2 linked regions of the Caenorhabditis elegans genome follow. The protein of the gene in region 2 purifies or fractionates together with the protein of the main gene of each other region. This does not show direct contact. Each region holds a gene or a part of one and is shown on either strand. Other genes may lie near its edges. The genes, in order: atgp-2 and aat-3.

Region 1 (6,385 bases), on a different chromosome or scaffold from region 2:
CGAAAAGTAGAACAGCTGATTATAAAAATGTGTGAATAAATAAGTAAGAGTCTACAATTATTTTTAGACCAAGGAAACAAATACTGATCAAACTTCAATTTAAGCATAGCTGAAAAATTGATAAAATTGAATTATTATACATTCAATTTGCTAAAATCGTGATTTTTTGGCAATTCAAACTATGAATAGGCAAGGAAATAAATGTAGATCGAACATTTTTTTAATAATCACTATAATACACAATCTGAAAAGTCAGAGAAAAAAAATGTGTGTTTGAAATGTTAATGAGAGAAAATTAGCCAACAATGCGTAAAGATTTGGAAGTTACCTGATTTTCATCAGTTCTCAAATCATAAACTACGCAATATGCAAAATTCTTTTAACACTATACCCAAAAATGCCGGCCTGCATTCAAGACAACCTGGTTGGAAGGGATGAGGCAGTTTTGTGCAATAATAACAATAAAAAAAATAATTATTATAAAAATTGAAGAATCATAGAGAACTATGTTATATTTAATACGCATTTTAATGACTTTTTATACCCTATTTTCATAGCTGTTAACCCGGCTGCCAATCAATTAAAATGCTAAAACTCATACATCAAAAAGTTACTAAGACATCTGTTTTAACCAGCTTTAATCACTTTTTTCTGTGTCTAATTTTATGATTGATTTGCATAATATTACTAATGGCATATGCAAAGCACAAACTTCATTGGAGAGCGTAGAAAAAAGTAAGGTCGAAAAATAACCTATTGTTGATTAAAAGTCGTATGTCGAACGAAAAAGGCAGACAGGCAGGCACGGCGTGCATTCTTGCCATAAAAGCCCTAAGCTCAATTTTTTGTTGCATTGCAGCACGTGGCTTTCAACAATAATTGTATATTTTATTATAAAAATTTAATTTTTAAAATTAACAATTCACGCGGGGCGGATATGTCACACCATATAAATAAGTAGCGGGGATTTGAGAAATTCGAAGAAAAGAAAGAGGAAAAAACGAAGGTATGCACCATTGTTGACAGGGAAAACGAAAGCAATCGGGGGCCGAGGTAACATAGAAAAATTGAAAATTACAAAAAAATTGGTTCTAAGAGTTTTGTTCTGACACATATTATTGGAAAACCTTGCATAACAAGATGAATTAGATAATCATGCTGAATAGCGGAACACGACGCCTTCATTTGGTTCCAATTCGATTTCCTTTAAGCCAAAGTCTACTGTCTGACGTGCGTAGTAGGCGACACAGTTGGATGTGGCGGTGACTATCTGCAATTCGGAAATTGAATGTGCATCGATATTGCATGTGTGTTACTAATTCATAATAGGGGAGTTGCTTTTTCTATGAATAACAAAAAGAAGGTAACAAGTGTTGGCAGTTTTTTTTATAAATTTCGAAAACTCACTGTAGATTTATGCAATTTTGAGTTGCTTGGCAAGTCTGTCAGTGGAAGTTTTACTGGATGCTCGGCAAAGTTGAGAGCGGCTACGTAGATCTGAACTTTTCATAATTTTTGAAAAATTTCCCTATGATATAAGAAAAAAACTCACATTTCCAGTAGTTCTATTTTCAAAATTATTGAATCTCGTAATCGTGAATGCTCCATCAACTAGTCGCCCAATCAGCGTGGTTCCAGTCATCAGTGCATCTTCTCTCTGTCTCAATTTCGCCAGTTTCGCGAAAATCTTCAATGTTGACTGAGGCTCAGCGTATTGCCGTTTCCAGTTAATATTCGCCACGTCGATATTTGACGGAACCGGCGGACTGATGGCTGATGTGAATCCTCCGTTCAACGAGTCATCCCATTGCATCGCACCCTTCTGTGGTGGGACTCTGGAGTCATTCGCCAGATTTCGCATGCCGATTTCCTCACCGTAGTAGATATTGTTAGTTCCAGGTAGAATCATTTGGAGAACCATCAGGAGTTGTGCATGTGGACGGGATCCGACACGGGACGCAATTCGAGCCAGGTCCGGGGAGCCGAACTGAAAATGTTAGAAAGTTTTTTTTCAAAATAATTAAAACGATTTGACTCCCGGAAATTTTTCTTTGGTAATGTTTCATGCTTACTTCCTCAAATAATACACGGCAAAAAAAATTTTGACAACTCCTAACAAGCGGAGCTCACATCGGCGGTGCTCAGATAATTTTGAATTTGTCTAACCTAGGGGGAGTGAGGCCTGTAACGTGACAGAACCCACCAGGACTGGATGAATCTATCCACCGGATAGCCAGTCAGTGGGAAACCTCTGATCGAGGGAGCTCTAGGACCGTGGCATCATCACGAGCCGAACGGGAGCTCCCGGTCCTCGTCATGGTTTGATTCAATCTAAAGTTCGTCAACTATTTTATAGCGAGATCAATCTAGACCGAAATACGTACGAGCACCGCCGAGTACGTTCAAAACCGACGGTCGTTATAAAGGGGAGGGTAGACGTGCGGCCGACACCTTGCGGGTTTCGCCTGCCACTAGGTTTTGTGTATGTGTCTCCGCCTTCTCAAGGTGGTAACGGGCCTATTTTATAGATTTTTCTTGTGTTGTCCCATATGAATTGTTGGGGAAATTATTTCAATTTACAATAAAATGACTAAAATTCGAATTTCTAAATTTAAGTTAGTCTAAATCGCCGCCACGATTTCACAATCTTTTCTCCAAAAGCCCCACAAAACTTACTCTCCAATGAGGCCAAACTTGCTCGTTCAACGAATGGAACAGCAGGACGTCGGACAGAATCTCGTGAACACAAGTGGCAACTGATCCCTCGTTCTTGTGACAAATCTCTGCAATGAACTTGTACCTATTAGTTTTCAGGTACGATAAGAACTCACTAGTGTCCTTCTCAACTTCTCCCAACTCGTAGTTGATGACTGTGTCCATCCCACTCTTTGCCATACGCTTCTTGTCCTTCTCCTTCGCTTCTTCTCTGGTAGAGAATAAGGCGCTGAAATTTCAACTTTAAAAAATTAAGTTTTCTTTCTGACAAACATTTTCTTTCCATCGGCAATTGTACTCTCGTTCGAGTAGGAATCCACATGGAATCTAATATCCCTTATGACGTCATAAATTGAGTTCCAGTCAGGTTCTGTACCATTTGGCGTTCTTGCAAGGTACTCGATTCCTTGAAGCTCAAATCCATCGACTCCGCGGTCAATCCAGTTGGAAAGAGCATTAAACATGTGCTCACGGAGATTACTGTTCTGCCAGTTTAGTACAGCGGATTTTGGATTTCCTGAAACTAGTAGTAGAACTGTTTTTCTTAATGATGAAATTCAATACCTTTCTCATGAAGATAGAAGAGATTCTTGTGCTCTGTGAAAAAGTTGGAGTCTGCCGCCTTGCTGACCCAAGTATAGAACTGCGAATAGTTGGCATTTGGTGTCTTGCTTGCCGTCGCTGAGTTCAAGAACCATTCGTGTTCTAGTGAGGTGGTGGCAATAGGGAAACTTATTACAATATTCATTTCTGCAAAATTTTCTGGCCTATGAAGTTATGTAAAGTTTACGATTACCTTTCTCATGAATCTTGTTGATAAGCTCATCAGCCTTCTGATTCACACCAATTTTTGGGTCCATTTGACTGAAACTTCTTACAGCCGTCTTCTCATCATCCGATATTAAGAACGGAGAAGGCCACACTGTTTGAACTCCGGACTTTCTCAATTGATCGAGTCGATTAATAAGTCCATCGACGTCTCCTACACCATCACCATCTGAATCCTGGAAGGACGGTACCCAGACGTGATAGGCTACGGCTGTCTGCCACCAGTTGGGCTTTGCGCGTAGGACGCAGGTTGGGGAGAAGCAGACCAGGAGAATTGCAACCGCGAAAAGAGCAAGCCAAATGAGCCAGAAGAGCACAAAAAGGACGGTTCTGAAAATATTGGATTCTTGATTTCAAACACTAAAATCTCGCAACAACTTTTGAAAACTTTGAAGGTTGTTTAGCTACTGTACTCCATACAACGTACTTTTAATTTTTTTTTTCACCACGTGTCTTCCATCCTTAAACGAAAATATTGGCGCAGAGCCAAGTAAATAACGAAGTAAATAACGAAGATCAATTGTTTGAGTTACTGATTAAGCACCCACTCAGTCGGCATGGCTTTTATTTTTTAGTTTAGGTATGTGTTTAGTGTAGGACCATTCAAAATAAATGCGCACAATTATTTTCATTTCTAGTATTACAGGCGGCAGGCACAAAATGTATTCCCTTTCCTGCTTAATGCCTACTGCCAAAGTAACACTGGCAGAAAATTCAAGTTATAAAAAATCAATTACCTAATAAACTTCCAGCAAGGATCATTTCTAAACTGCTCCAACTCTTGTTCGCTCAACCCGATTTGATCAGTATTTTTAGGATTAGTGGGAGCCGGTGGTCGTTCCCAAGACTTTTGTGGAGGTGCTTCTTCTTGTTCTTGTCGTTTTTCCTTCCGCATAATGTGTTCGGGCACTACGGGGTTTCCAGAGACCGCACTAATGTAGCTTTCAGTTTTGTTGCCACGGTCTACTTCGTAAAACCTGGAAATTTATTATCGAATTTTTACTTAAATTTTATGATTAGTTTTTTAACTGAAAAATGCACTAGAAGTAAGAATAGAAGATTTGCGCATTCCTTAACTTGCTAGCAAAATAATAAGAAAATGAAGAAAAATGAATGGGTATTTCGGCAGACTGCACAGCAGACTGAATAGAAAAATTGAACCTAAAGAACAAAGATGATTTGCAGTTTTCTTATCATTTTAATTTTCTAGAAAGGACATTCCAAACGACCCAGATCATCCCATTTATCGCTTGTACTAACCTTGGTGTCTTGCCCTCGGGACCCGGCATTAGCCGGTCGGTGGCGTCCATTTTGACTGTCTGCAAAAAATGATAACGTTCAGTGAACTTGGGAACAAAGAACAATGATTAAAACAAGAAGGTTTTGACGGAATTTCAGGAAATTGAAAAATGTAAGTCACAGGAAAAAAATAATTCTAGAAACTTTACTGCAAAAAGCCAAAGGTATAGGTGCGGCATAATTTTGGCCGCGGAGTTTTTTTTTCAAAAATGAGTTAAAATGGTATAAGCATAGATGCAAAAGTTTTGGGTACAATAAAAAAATTAATAATACGTTATTAAACTTTTTGTGTTTTCCTAAAGATATTCTTACTAAAAATTATGAAGGACACAAAATTTTAGCTAACCAAAAAGCAGAGCCATACAATTTTTCACGAAAACCTGAACTAAAAGATTTAGCAAAAAATCCAGGAAACACGTAAACGTACAACAAGGGAAAAAAATAAGAAAAAGTCGTTTAAAAGTCAAGAGAAATACGAGAAAGGAGAAAAAGAAGAAGAAGCTCACTTTCGGCTTTTTTTCTCTATTCTATAGAGGTCCCAATAGAATTCAGAGGGAGAAGGAAGATGGGCTAATGAATATAGGATTAGGATGCAGAATAGACAATTCCCACCAGATGAGAGCATACCAATTTTATTCACTGTGTATATTATAAACAAATTTATTGAGTAATATGGATTTTGTGTGGCATATTGAAGTTTTGAAAATTGAAATGTTTGTTTTTGAAATTAAGATTTTTTTTTGATAAATTTTGGTAATTAATTGGAAACTGTTTCCATTTTTTTATGAGAAAAAATTTAAAAAAATAATATAGAATGTTGAGAAAAATTTGGTCAAAAATTCCCAAAAAATGCTCAAAATTATCTAAACCCTACTTATTACCTATTTACAAATTGAGTCTCAAAAGATCTACAAAAAATCTTAGGATAATTATCATCAGAAGAATCTTGCAAATTACAGTACAGAAGCAAAAAGCTTCAATTAAAACTAAAAATCTTCAGAATTGAACACACGAAGTTTTTTTTAAAATCTTATCAACAAAAGTTTCAATTTATAAAAAATATAGTAACTAAAAAGTCATTAAAATGGAAAAAGTGTAAGGTTACAAAACTGAAGTTTTTTCAAAATCAAAAGCGTGAAACTGTGGTCGTATCAAAATCCCCTTGAACATCACCTAGGTTTTCAAGTGGTATAGGTATACAAAAAAGAGTTAAGTAACCCGATATTTCACTCTCGCCGCGCCGCGCGGTATCGGTGACTTGTCAAAGGAGGACGAACGACACGAGAAAAAGTGTAACTAAGCATTCAAAGAGCCACTCATCAACACATGTCCACCTTAATCTCAACAGCAGGTCAATTTTTGAGGAAGATTGATCGAGAAGTTGCAAAAAAAATGAAGAAAACAAGCGTGAAAAATTTGCCGATTTTTCAAAGGAGAAGGCGAATCCTCACTATTTGTTGACTAACCGCTAGGGAGCAAAGGAATAGCTTAGACGCAGGGAAAAAAGAGAACGAATTTGAAAGGAGACGTTGTTGCGAAAACG
Region 2 (8,337 bases):
GTGCAGGATTCCACACAGTCATGTTTCTGAACAAGTGAGTTTTTAGTGAAACTTTTCGAAAAATATTGGATTTTTTCAAAAAGTGGCAATTATTGAGTTTTTGCCACTTTTTGAAAAAACTAGAGCACTATCGTATGTTCGATTCCCTGATAATTTTTGAAACACACGTAAGTAGATAATAAAAACGGTATTTTTTTCAAATCGACGGCTTTAAAAAAGTGGAAAACGGAGTTTTTTCCGAATTTCAAAAACTCATATAAAATTTATCACTTTTTTTGAATTTTTAAGTATGAGATTTAGGTCATTATAGGCATTTTTAAAGGCAATTTTCGCTACTCCACCTTCAAAATATTTTTGCTCATTTTCAATAAATTTAAATTTCAGCTCCTACTACACAAATCGATTCTACTATTCCGTTGATATGAATTTTGAATGCATTGTTCCAAAAGATTCGGATTGGGATTCGCTTCTTGTTCAATTTGTCTATGGAGCATCGTTATTCTACAAAAAATCGTCCATTTACAACAATTGTGACTATGACCGCATTCGTCGCCGCTGAGCCAAAAACTACGTTTTAATTTATTTTTCACATGTAAAAACATAATTTTAGACACATAAACCATTTTAACAATTTCCAACTAATTAACCAGGGGTCTGAAAAAAAGAGGCGTTGAGCACCCGCATCTGGAGCAAGTAAAACGTTCCAGAACAATCTAACTTAGATTTTAAACTAAAAATTAGGTTCTAAACATATTCTACTGTTTGTGAAAACCTGTAACTCCGTGGAAAAAAATCTAACAATAAGTAAAAACCTTGTAAATTGCAATTCAACAACTTTCAGGAAAACCGATTATTAGCCAGAATATGTAGAAGTGTTTGAAGTGAGAATATATTTATTATGCCAAAATAATTATGGTTTTTCGCATTTCTACTTGTACGAATTGTCATTGTATTCTTTTATATCGGCGGCAAAATACTGTAAAATTGGGGGGAGGGGGGGGGGGGAAATAATATAGTTGAGATCAGTTTTTCTCGAACTTTAGTAAATAAAAGAAAACAACGAAAACTAAATTGGTGGTAACTGGGGATTGTGAGCGCCGAGAACTGAGAGCTACAAGTTTTTATGACACTATTCCTCTTTGTTGGCGTCGACAACCATGAACAACTTTTGCGTGAAGATCGTGACGGAATCTGAAATTTCCAATTGATCAATGGACTCCAAAAACTGAAATAGTTACCTGTGAGCGAGTCAATGCACTTTGGTTTTCCTTTCCATGCAATGAAAATAAGGTATACAGGGACACCAGACAGCATAATAAGGATTCCAATTGCAGTATCCTTCGGGTTTCCAAGAACTGGGACCAACACAAGAAGCACGCACCCAATGAAGAATATGATTGGGAAAACTATCGGCGCTTTCACAGCTCTTGGAGCATCTGGCATTGTTTTTCTAAAGTAGAAGAGCGCAAGGATGGCTCCTCCAATAGCAATCCAGTAGCTGACTTGAATGTAGTTGATGAGAGAGTAAATGTTGTTGGAGAGAAGAAGGTAGAGCAAGGAAAGAAGTCCCTGTAATTTGAAAAAACTTCAATACTAGTAAGAATGTGCAAAACTTACAGTGAGAATTACGGCTGGGATTGGAGTTTTTGTGGTTTTGTTCACCATGGTTAATACATTTGGCATTTGTCCTTCACGAGCTCCGCAGTAGAATAATCTGAATTATTTTAGTTCGCATTGTGTTGTTTAATATATGTTAATCTAAAACTTAGTCGTAAGTCTTGGTTGATCTTAAAGGATTAATAACGGTTATTGGTTTTTTAAATGTACATATAGACCCCAAATGTGTTCACTTTTTTAAAAATTAATTCATATATCTTTATTGCATTGAAAAAATTCCCTTATTGCAAACGTTTTGATAACCTACACTATTTTTGAAAAGTGTGCTTTTTAAATTATCCTCGAGTTACGTGCAACTTTTTGCATGTTTTTGCGTAATTGATTGAAAATTTGTTGAAATTAATTATTTATATACATCATTGATTCTTTTTTATACTACTCAGGGCTGTGCGGCAACCGGTAACCAAGTTGCCGGTTGCCGAAAATTTTTGGGTTCGACTTCGGCAATTGCCGATATCGGCCAAACATTTTGTAGCTCAGAAAAAAACATTCAGAGAACCTGAAAAATGCTAACGTTTCACTGTAAAAGAAAAAAACGACCATACTTTTTTCCAAAGCGCTCAAAAATATAATTTCAACAAAAAAATTTTCAAAAAAAGGCAATTGCCGGTTTCCAAAAATTTTTTGGCTCGTCAAATTCGGCAATTGCCGGTTGCCGAAAATTTTGGGGTTTTGGGGTTCGGCAACTTCGGCAATTGCCGCTTGCCGAACATCTCGACTGCCGCACAGCCCTGATACTACTTTTAAAAAATCTGTCTAAAAAAAGTTACCTAGAACTTGTCAAAATGACACCGTTTGCCGATCCAATGGTTGAGCAGGCCACAAATATTGGCATGCAGAAAGCAAACCATCCATAGTTCTTCTCCGCGAATAGCTGTAATATTTTTGTCAGATTCTATTAAGGAGCATTGGCTAACTTACAACTGCAACCGCTGGGCTTGCAAGCATCTCATCGGGTGTGATTGACGTGTACAAAGCCACGTTTGTAAGAGTGTAGATGATGGTACACAGTGAGCAAGAGATAGCAATAGAGAGTGGAAGGTTTCTGAAATGTTTCCAAATTGTGAATCGAGTTTTCAAAATGTTACTGGTTTAACGGACCTTTTTGGATTTTGAAGTTCTTCAACAATAAAGTTAAGGTAGTTCCAGCCCTGGTAAGCAAACAATCCGGAGTAGAAAGCAAGTGAAGCAGTTTCTAAATCCTTGGCGGTGTTTTCAAAGATATTTTCAAATGAGTCAAAAGCTTCTGGTTTGCCTGAAATTTAGTTTAAATAAAATATGAATTATGAATCAATCCTAAAACCCACCAGAAACCATGTTCCATAAACCAGTGAAGATGATCAATACAAGAGCAGCAGTCTTGGTCACAAAAAAGAAATCTTGAACTTTACTTGCCCATTTGACAGAGATACAGTTGACAGCCGTAAGTAACACTGAAATTGGAAATTCAAAAGTTTGAAAATTCAAAAGTTTGAAAATTCAAAAATAAAGGTCAATTACCAAGAAGAAGAGCTGCAATTAGTTCCGTGGAAAGTGGTGGAGAATCACAGTCCGGGTAGAATGGTTTTAACATGTAGATTGCAAACGTGAGTGCCACAATTGTAGCGGTGCATGGTCTGAAAAATTGAAAAAAAAATAAATGTAAAATCTCAAGTCGCCAATATGCTTCTTACCGCACTACAATACTTTCAATCCAAAGTCTAAGAAACGCCAGGAATGGTCCAAATGCCTCCATAATATACGCATAGTCTCCACCAGATTTACGGATAAGAGTTCCAAGTTCTGCATAGCAAAAAGCTCCAATACCGGCGAAGAGTCCAGACAAAACCCACACGATCAGTGAAAGGCCGACTGAGCCGGCTTCTGAAAAGCGGAGCAAAATTATTAGAGTAACTTGTTGTACAGGGTAGGCCAACAAATGACACGTTTTGATGTGATAGTCAAGTCAAATGCAAGAAAATTGATGTTAGCAGTTGTTTGATAAGTGTAGATAAATGAGTGAAAATTGTTCTTTACTATTTGAAATTTCGAGAATTCTAGGTCCATAACGGACGTTTTAAAATCAAAATGCTTTATCACTAGTTACTAACTATTTTTCAGAAAAAAGAGCAAGTTTATTATTAATCAGAATTCTACACTGTGAAGTTTTAAAAAACAACATTGATTTTTTTAAAGTTCCTAATTCACTCCTAACTCAACTGAAACACGCGCCTACGTTTGGGTCCACGGTAATTTATTTTTAAGATTTTGAAGTCCTCAGGAACTTATGAGAATTCAAAAATTAAGGTTTAAATTGCATATATATATATATAACCTTCTAGGTATATCTCTGTGAAAATCTTTTGTTATGACAATAAAACAATTTTATCAACAATTAAATTCTATTGTATAAATGTATAACCCTCGCCGGGAAATTAATTGGTTTTTTATCTGATCTTATCGAACAACTTACGTGCTTGGATTCCAGTTGGACTGATAAAAATTCCGGATCCAATAATGCATCCGACAATTATAGATACTCCATTGAATAAAGTCATCGTCTTTTCCAAACCTTTGTCGCCAACCTCTTCCTAAAGTATTCTCGATTGTTGGAAAACTTTTTTAAATTAAAAAAAAAATCAAATACTCACATCATGATGCTCATTTGAAGGTTCTTGGTTGAGCGGTTCCGATTGTTCTTGCTTACCCATCTTTGGTCTGAAAAAAAATCTCGTTTAAAAAATTCACTGACGATGATAAAATGAAAAAAAAAGTACAAGAGACGTTGAGAAAAAAGTCAAAACATTCGAAAAGCGAAAAACGTTCAAGGACAGTGTTGCAAAAGGGATACTCGTATTTGAATAGAACTACGTGCAAAAAGAGAGCATGTTATTCGTAGACGAAGAAGCAGCAAATGTTAATGGAAAAGTGGGTGGCAGGAGCGAGCAAAGTTCTAATGGCAGGAAACGCGAAGAGATAAACGTGTGAGAAAAGAGCGGCTGTACATGACAGGGGGTCGGTAGGTCATCGCAACCCCATTAGCTGCTTGCTAGCCGGCACTCGACTCGTCTACAAAAAAGACGCGAGAGATGACAGTAAGTTGTTTCCTCTCGTCTGACTCTCTTGTCATTGACTTGTTTGGTTATGCACAGTGCATTTTATCGGTAGGATAGGTTATATACGAGGTCGATGAAGATCATAATTACAGGGTGGCGGACATATATAGAAAGTTGAGTGAAAATAGCGGAAGAGAGAGATACCATCTGAAGCGGAAGACAATAATTCTAACGCAAATCAGCAGCAAAAAGTGTTCTCCCCGGCCGGGAATTGAACCCGGGTCTCGCATGTGACAGACGCGGATACTCACCACTATACTACCGAGGATCTGGGAGATAGAGAAGCAAAAGCCATCTACATTTTGGCAGACATCGGCGAAAAAAAAAACATTTCAATTGAAAGAGACTCAAAGAAATAGACGAAAAAAATTAGTGGCAAGAAGAGGAAAGAAAACCTTCGGAAAACTAGTACTGGGCGTGACTTTTTTTTTTTTAAGCTGTTTTCACTTTAAATATAATAATAGTGATGTTGTTGACATGGTGGGACAGTAGCATAAAGTTGATTTTTTGTTTTTTTTTTGTTTTAATGAAATCAAGGTTACAAAAAATTTGCTGACCATTTGCAAAGTATACAACACAAGTAGCGCCAGCTCCTATAGCGTCAAAAAAAAACAAATAGTAAAACTTTTCAACCAAAAATAACTGGAAATGTTTTATTTACTGTCAAAAAGTGACAGTTTTTGCCCACTGATAATTTAAGAATACGATTTAAAAAAATTGTGTCTACGATTTTTTAAACTTGAAATTTGTGTTATTCATGTATACGTATTCTCAAGGTCTAGATTTTTCAAAAAATTTGGCAATTTGCCAAAACTTTAAAACTTGGAAACTTAAAAAAAAACCAAAATGTTTTGAATTGTTCTATTTTGATATTTGTGATCGTTTTAGACTCCTACTGACAAAACTCCACTAGATTTTTGAAAAATAAATAAAAACGCATTTTGACCGACTTCAGAACGTCATGGCTCATAATAAAACTGAAAGTTATGTTCCTTGGCAATATTGATAAAATTCAATCCGAATAGATCCGGATAGACACGCTAAACGTCAGGTGGTTGGTGTCAAGGATTAGATCTCTGAAGTAGAAGCTAAAGCTCAACTCACGGAGAGCGATCAAGTTTCTATTCAAACACGCACACTAAAAGGAAGAACCAATCGGATGAAAATCGGCAGTCATTTTGGGGTTTTGCCAACAAAATGAAATAAAATTGGTATCGGTCTCAAGATAAACGCTCATAAACGCTAACTGGTAAACGGAGGATCTCTGAATCCAAATGTCATTTTAGATGAACTAACCGTATCGTTGTGTGTCCGTCCAGCCCCTGTTTGTGTGTGTGTGTGTGCGTGTGTCGGCCGTTTGAGGGACAGAGGGCAAATGACGAGGAATGGGCAGACATTGACAAAAAGAATTGCGCACACTGGTCACCCTCACTCACCTCCGCATAAACCGCACTATCTCGTCAGTTTACTTACTACATATATGAGTACAGCGGTCATCGGATCGGTAATGTGGGAACCAGCTTGCTTACTTGTCCCCTAACAACGGGGACGGATAATGCACATTTATTAGGGTATCGAATCGGAATGAAAAGAAGACCCCCCCCCCCCCCCCCTCTTATTCGATGTTTATACCCGTGGGTCAATGAATCAACAGAAATGAAAATTTGGGGGAGTGTAAAAGAGGAGAACGAGTAATGAGTGATGTGACAGGAACAATCATCTTCCGTGCGTTTGGATACGCATTTTACAAAAGTGCACCAGATGTGAAACGCTTTATTGTTTTGCACTTTGAGGGTGTGAGGATGTGAAAGCTTTTTGAACAATGATTGAAGGAGTGACGATTTTAAACGTAAAGAGCCAAAATGTGTTTACAAGGAAACTTTTTATAATGAAACTTCTCAAAAATTTCTCAAAAAATTGTCTAATTTTAGCTAAAATAAGCCCAACCATAAAAAAACGTTTGAATTTTTTGAGAGATTTTGTTTCGAGTTAAAGCAAACATAAATCGGTCTAGAAACGGGTTACCACTACGACATCCATGGGAGGTAGTCGCGGTTTCAGTGCCTGGCGCATGCCTCCAACCTGCCGGCCTCTCGCTTCATTTCTGCACTATGGCGAGAAGTCAAAGGCTTGGTGATTACACAAGATGGTGCGAAAGACGGTTTTTTCGACGCGGCCGACACTTTTCGGCTTCTGCGCCGCACTATACAGGTGGCGAGGCTCGCCGCGCAAGACAGGCGAAGTTCGCCGCAGAGTTAGCGCGGCAGGCATTTTCGCGCCTGCATGGAAACTTTAGTTCCACCAAAGCTAAGTTTTTAGATATTATGGTAAAAATTGAAAACAGTTATTTAATAGTATTAGGTTTTAATATAGCTTGCAATTGAGTTTTGAGTTTTTATTAGAGTTGTGCTCATAATGAGCAATTGGAAAATAATCTGTCAGTTTCTATCACAATCACTCATCACTGAGAAGAAAGGAAAAAATTTTGTCGGAAATAAGAACCCAACTCTGTCATACATTTTTAAAATAATTTATATAGAATTAGAATATTTTGCAGCTTTAAGAAACTTTTCAATCTGTATATTTTTCTTCATGAAATTCAATGTTTTCTTGAAAAATGACACAAAAACACATAACAAGCAAAAAATGAAGCAAACATTTTAAAACAACATCATAACAAAAATCGCCATGACAACTAGAGCAGGTGGGATTACGCCTAATTTGTTTTCATTATTTATGCACCTTTTCACTTTTTCTAGTCAGAAGCAGGTGTTTTGGCTACTGAACAACGTTGGCATCAAAACAAATTTTTTAGTTTGAAATTGCAACATGAAAACAAAAAAAAAACAAGAAAAAGGAATACTATTCAGACAACTTTTTATTTCGTAGATCGATGCGACACAGCGAGCAAAAGAGCACGGAGGTCTTAGGACAACGGTCATTTGCTTTTTTGCGCATGATTACTTTTCTCATCCTTTCCTTTTCCGTCTTTTTTTGAAATTTATTTATTTATTTGGAATCAATAATTACAAGGGAAGAAAATAGTGCGTGTGTTGTTTTCGTAAAAACTCGTAAAGCTCGGGGGTTGTAGAGAGAGAGAGAGGATAATGAAATCCACACTGGACGATTGAAGCAAAAACTGGAGAAATGAAAGAAGAAAAAAAGAAGAAAAGGATAGCATATGAAATTGAGAGATTACCAGAGATAAAAATTTTGTTGACAAACAAGAGGAATAAGTAGTTGATAAGGTATAAATAGGAATATGCATATTGAATAAATATACCAAATATTCATAGTTGGCCATATTTTTTACAGATTTTCTAAGCTGGTATAAATTGTCTTGAACTTAGGTTTAGGGTATTTTAAACATACGTTACCTAAATGTGCTTAGTTAGAAAAAATAGGCAAAAATAGGAATTTTAGCCTAAAAATCCAATGACCAAAAATTGCAAAAATTAATTATTTATCAGTTTAAAATGTACCTTAACCAATGAATAACGGGAGATAAACTACCAAAATATGCAAAAAAGATGATAATTAGAAAAAGTTAACTTTGGACCGCTGA

What was found.
Region 1: the proteins of aat-3 (region 2) and atgp-2 purify together in Caenorhabditis elegans (co-purification; one study listed by BioGRID). This does not show direct contact.

What each region holds. Positions count from the first base shown.
Region 1 is NC_003280.10:14,639,222-14,645,606, forward strand, and holds atgp-2 (Glycosyl hydrolase family 13 catalytic domain-containing protein), read right to left. Parts: upstream 4,863-6,385; 5' UTR 4,854-4,862; coding exon 4,804-4,853; intron 4,521-4,803; coding exon 4,281-4,520; intron 3,874-4,280; coding exon 3,512-3,873; intron 3,466-3,511; coding exon 3,280-3,465; intron 3,233-3,279; coding exon 2,989-3,232; intron 2,945-2,988; coding exon 2,832-2,944; intron 2,784-2,831; coding exon 2,677-2,783; intron 2,395-2,676; exon of another isoform or gene 2,093-2,394; intron 1,988-2,092; coding exon 1,553-1,987; intron 1,498-1,552; coding exon 1,408-1,497; intron 1,271-1,407; coding exon 1,154-1,270; 3' UTR 877-1,153; downstream 1-876.
Region 2 is NC_003284.9:2,550,268-2,558,604, reverse strand, and holds aat-3 (Large neutral amino acids transporter small subunit 1), read right to left. Parts: upstream 6,346-8,337; 5' UTR 6,170-6,345; coding exon 6,069-6,169; intron 5,041-6,068; exon of another isoform or gene 4,969-5,040; intron 4,816-4,968; exon of another isoform or gene 4,607-4,815; intron 4,375-4,606; coding exon 4,308-4,374; intron 4,248-4,307; coding exon 4,130-4,247; intron 3,541-4,129; coding exon 3,351-3,540; intron 3,294-3,350; coding exon 3,178-3,293; intron 3,111-3,177; coding exon 2,985-3,110; intron 2,933-2,984; coding exon 2,779-2,932; intron 2,723-2,778; coding exon 2,599-2,722; intron 2,552-2,598; coding exon 2,448-2,551; intron 1,715-2,447; coding exon 1,618-1,714; intron 1,570-1,617; coding exon 1,239-1,569; intron 1,192-1,238; coding exon 1,130-1,191; 3' UTR 876-1,129; downstream 1-875. Other genes in the region: F52H2.5 (Peptidase_M10 domain-containing protein), read left to right, coding at 1-34, 385-559.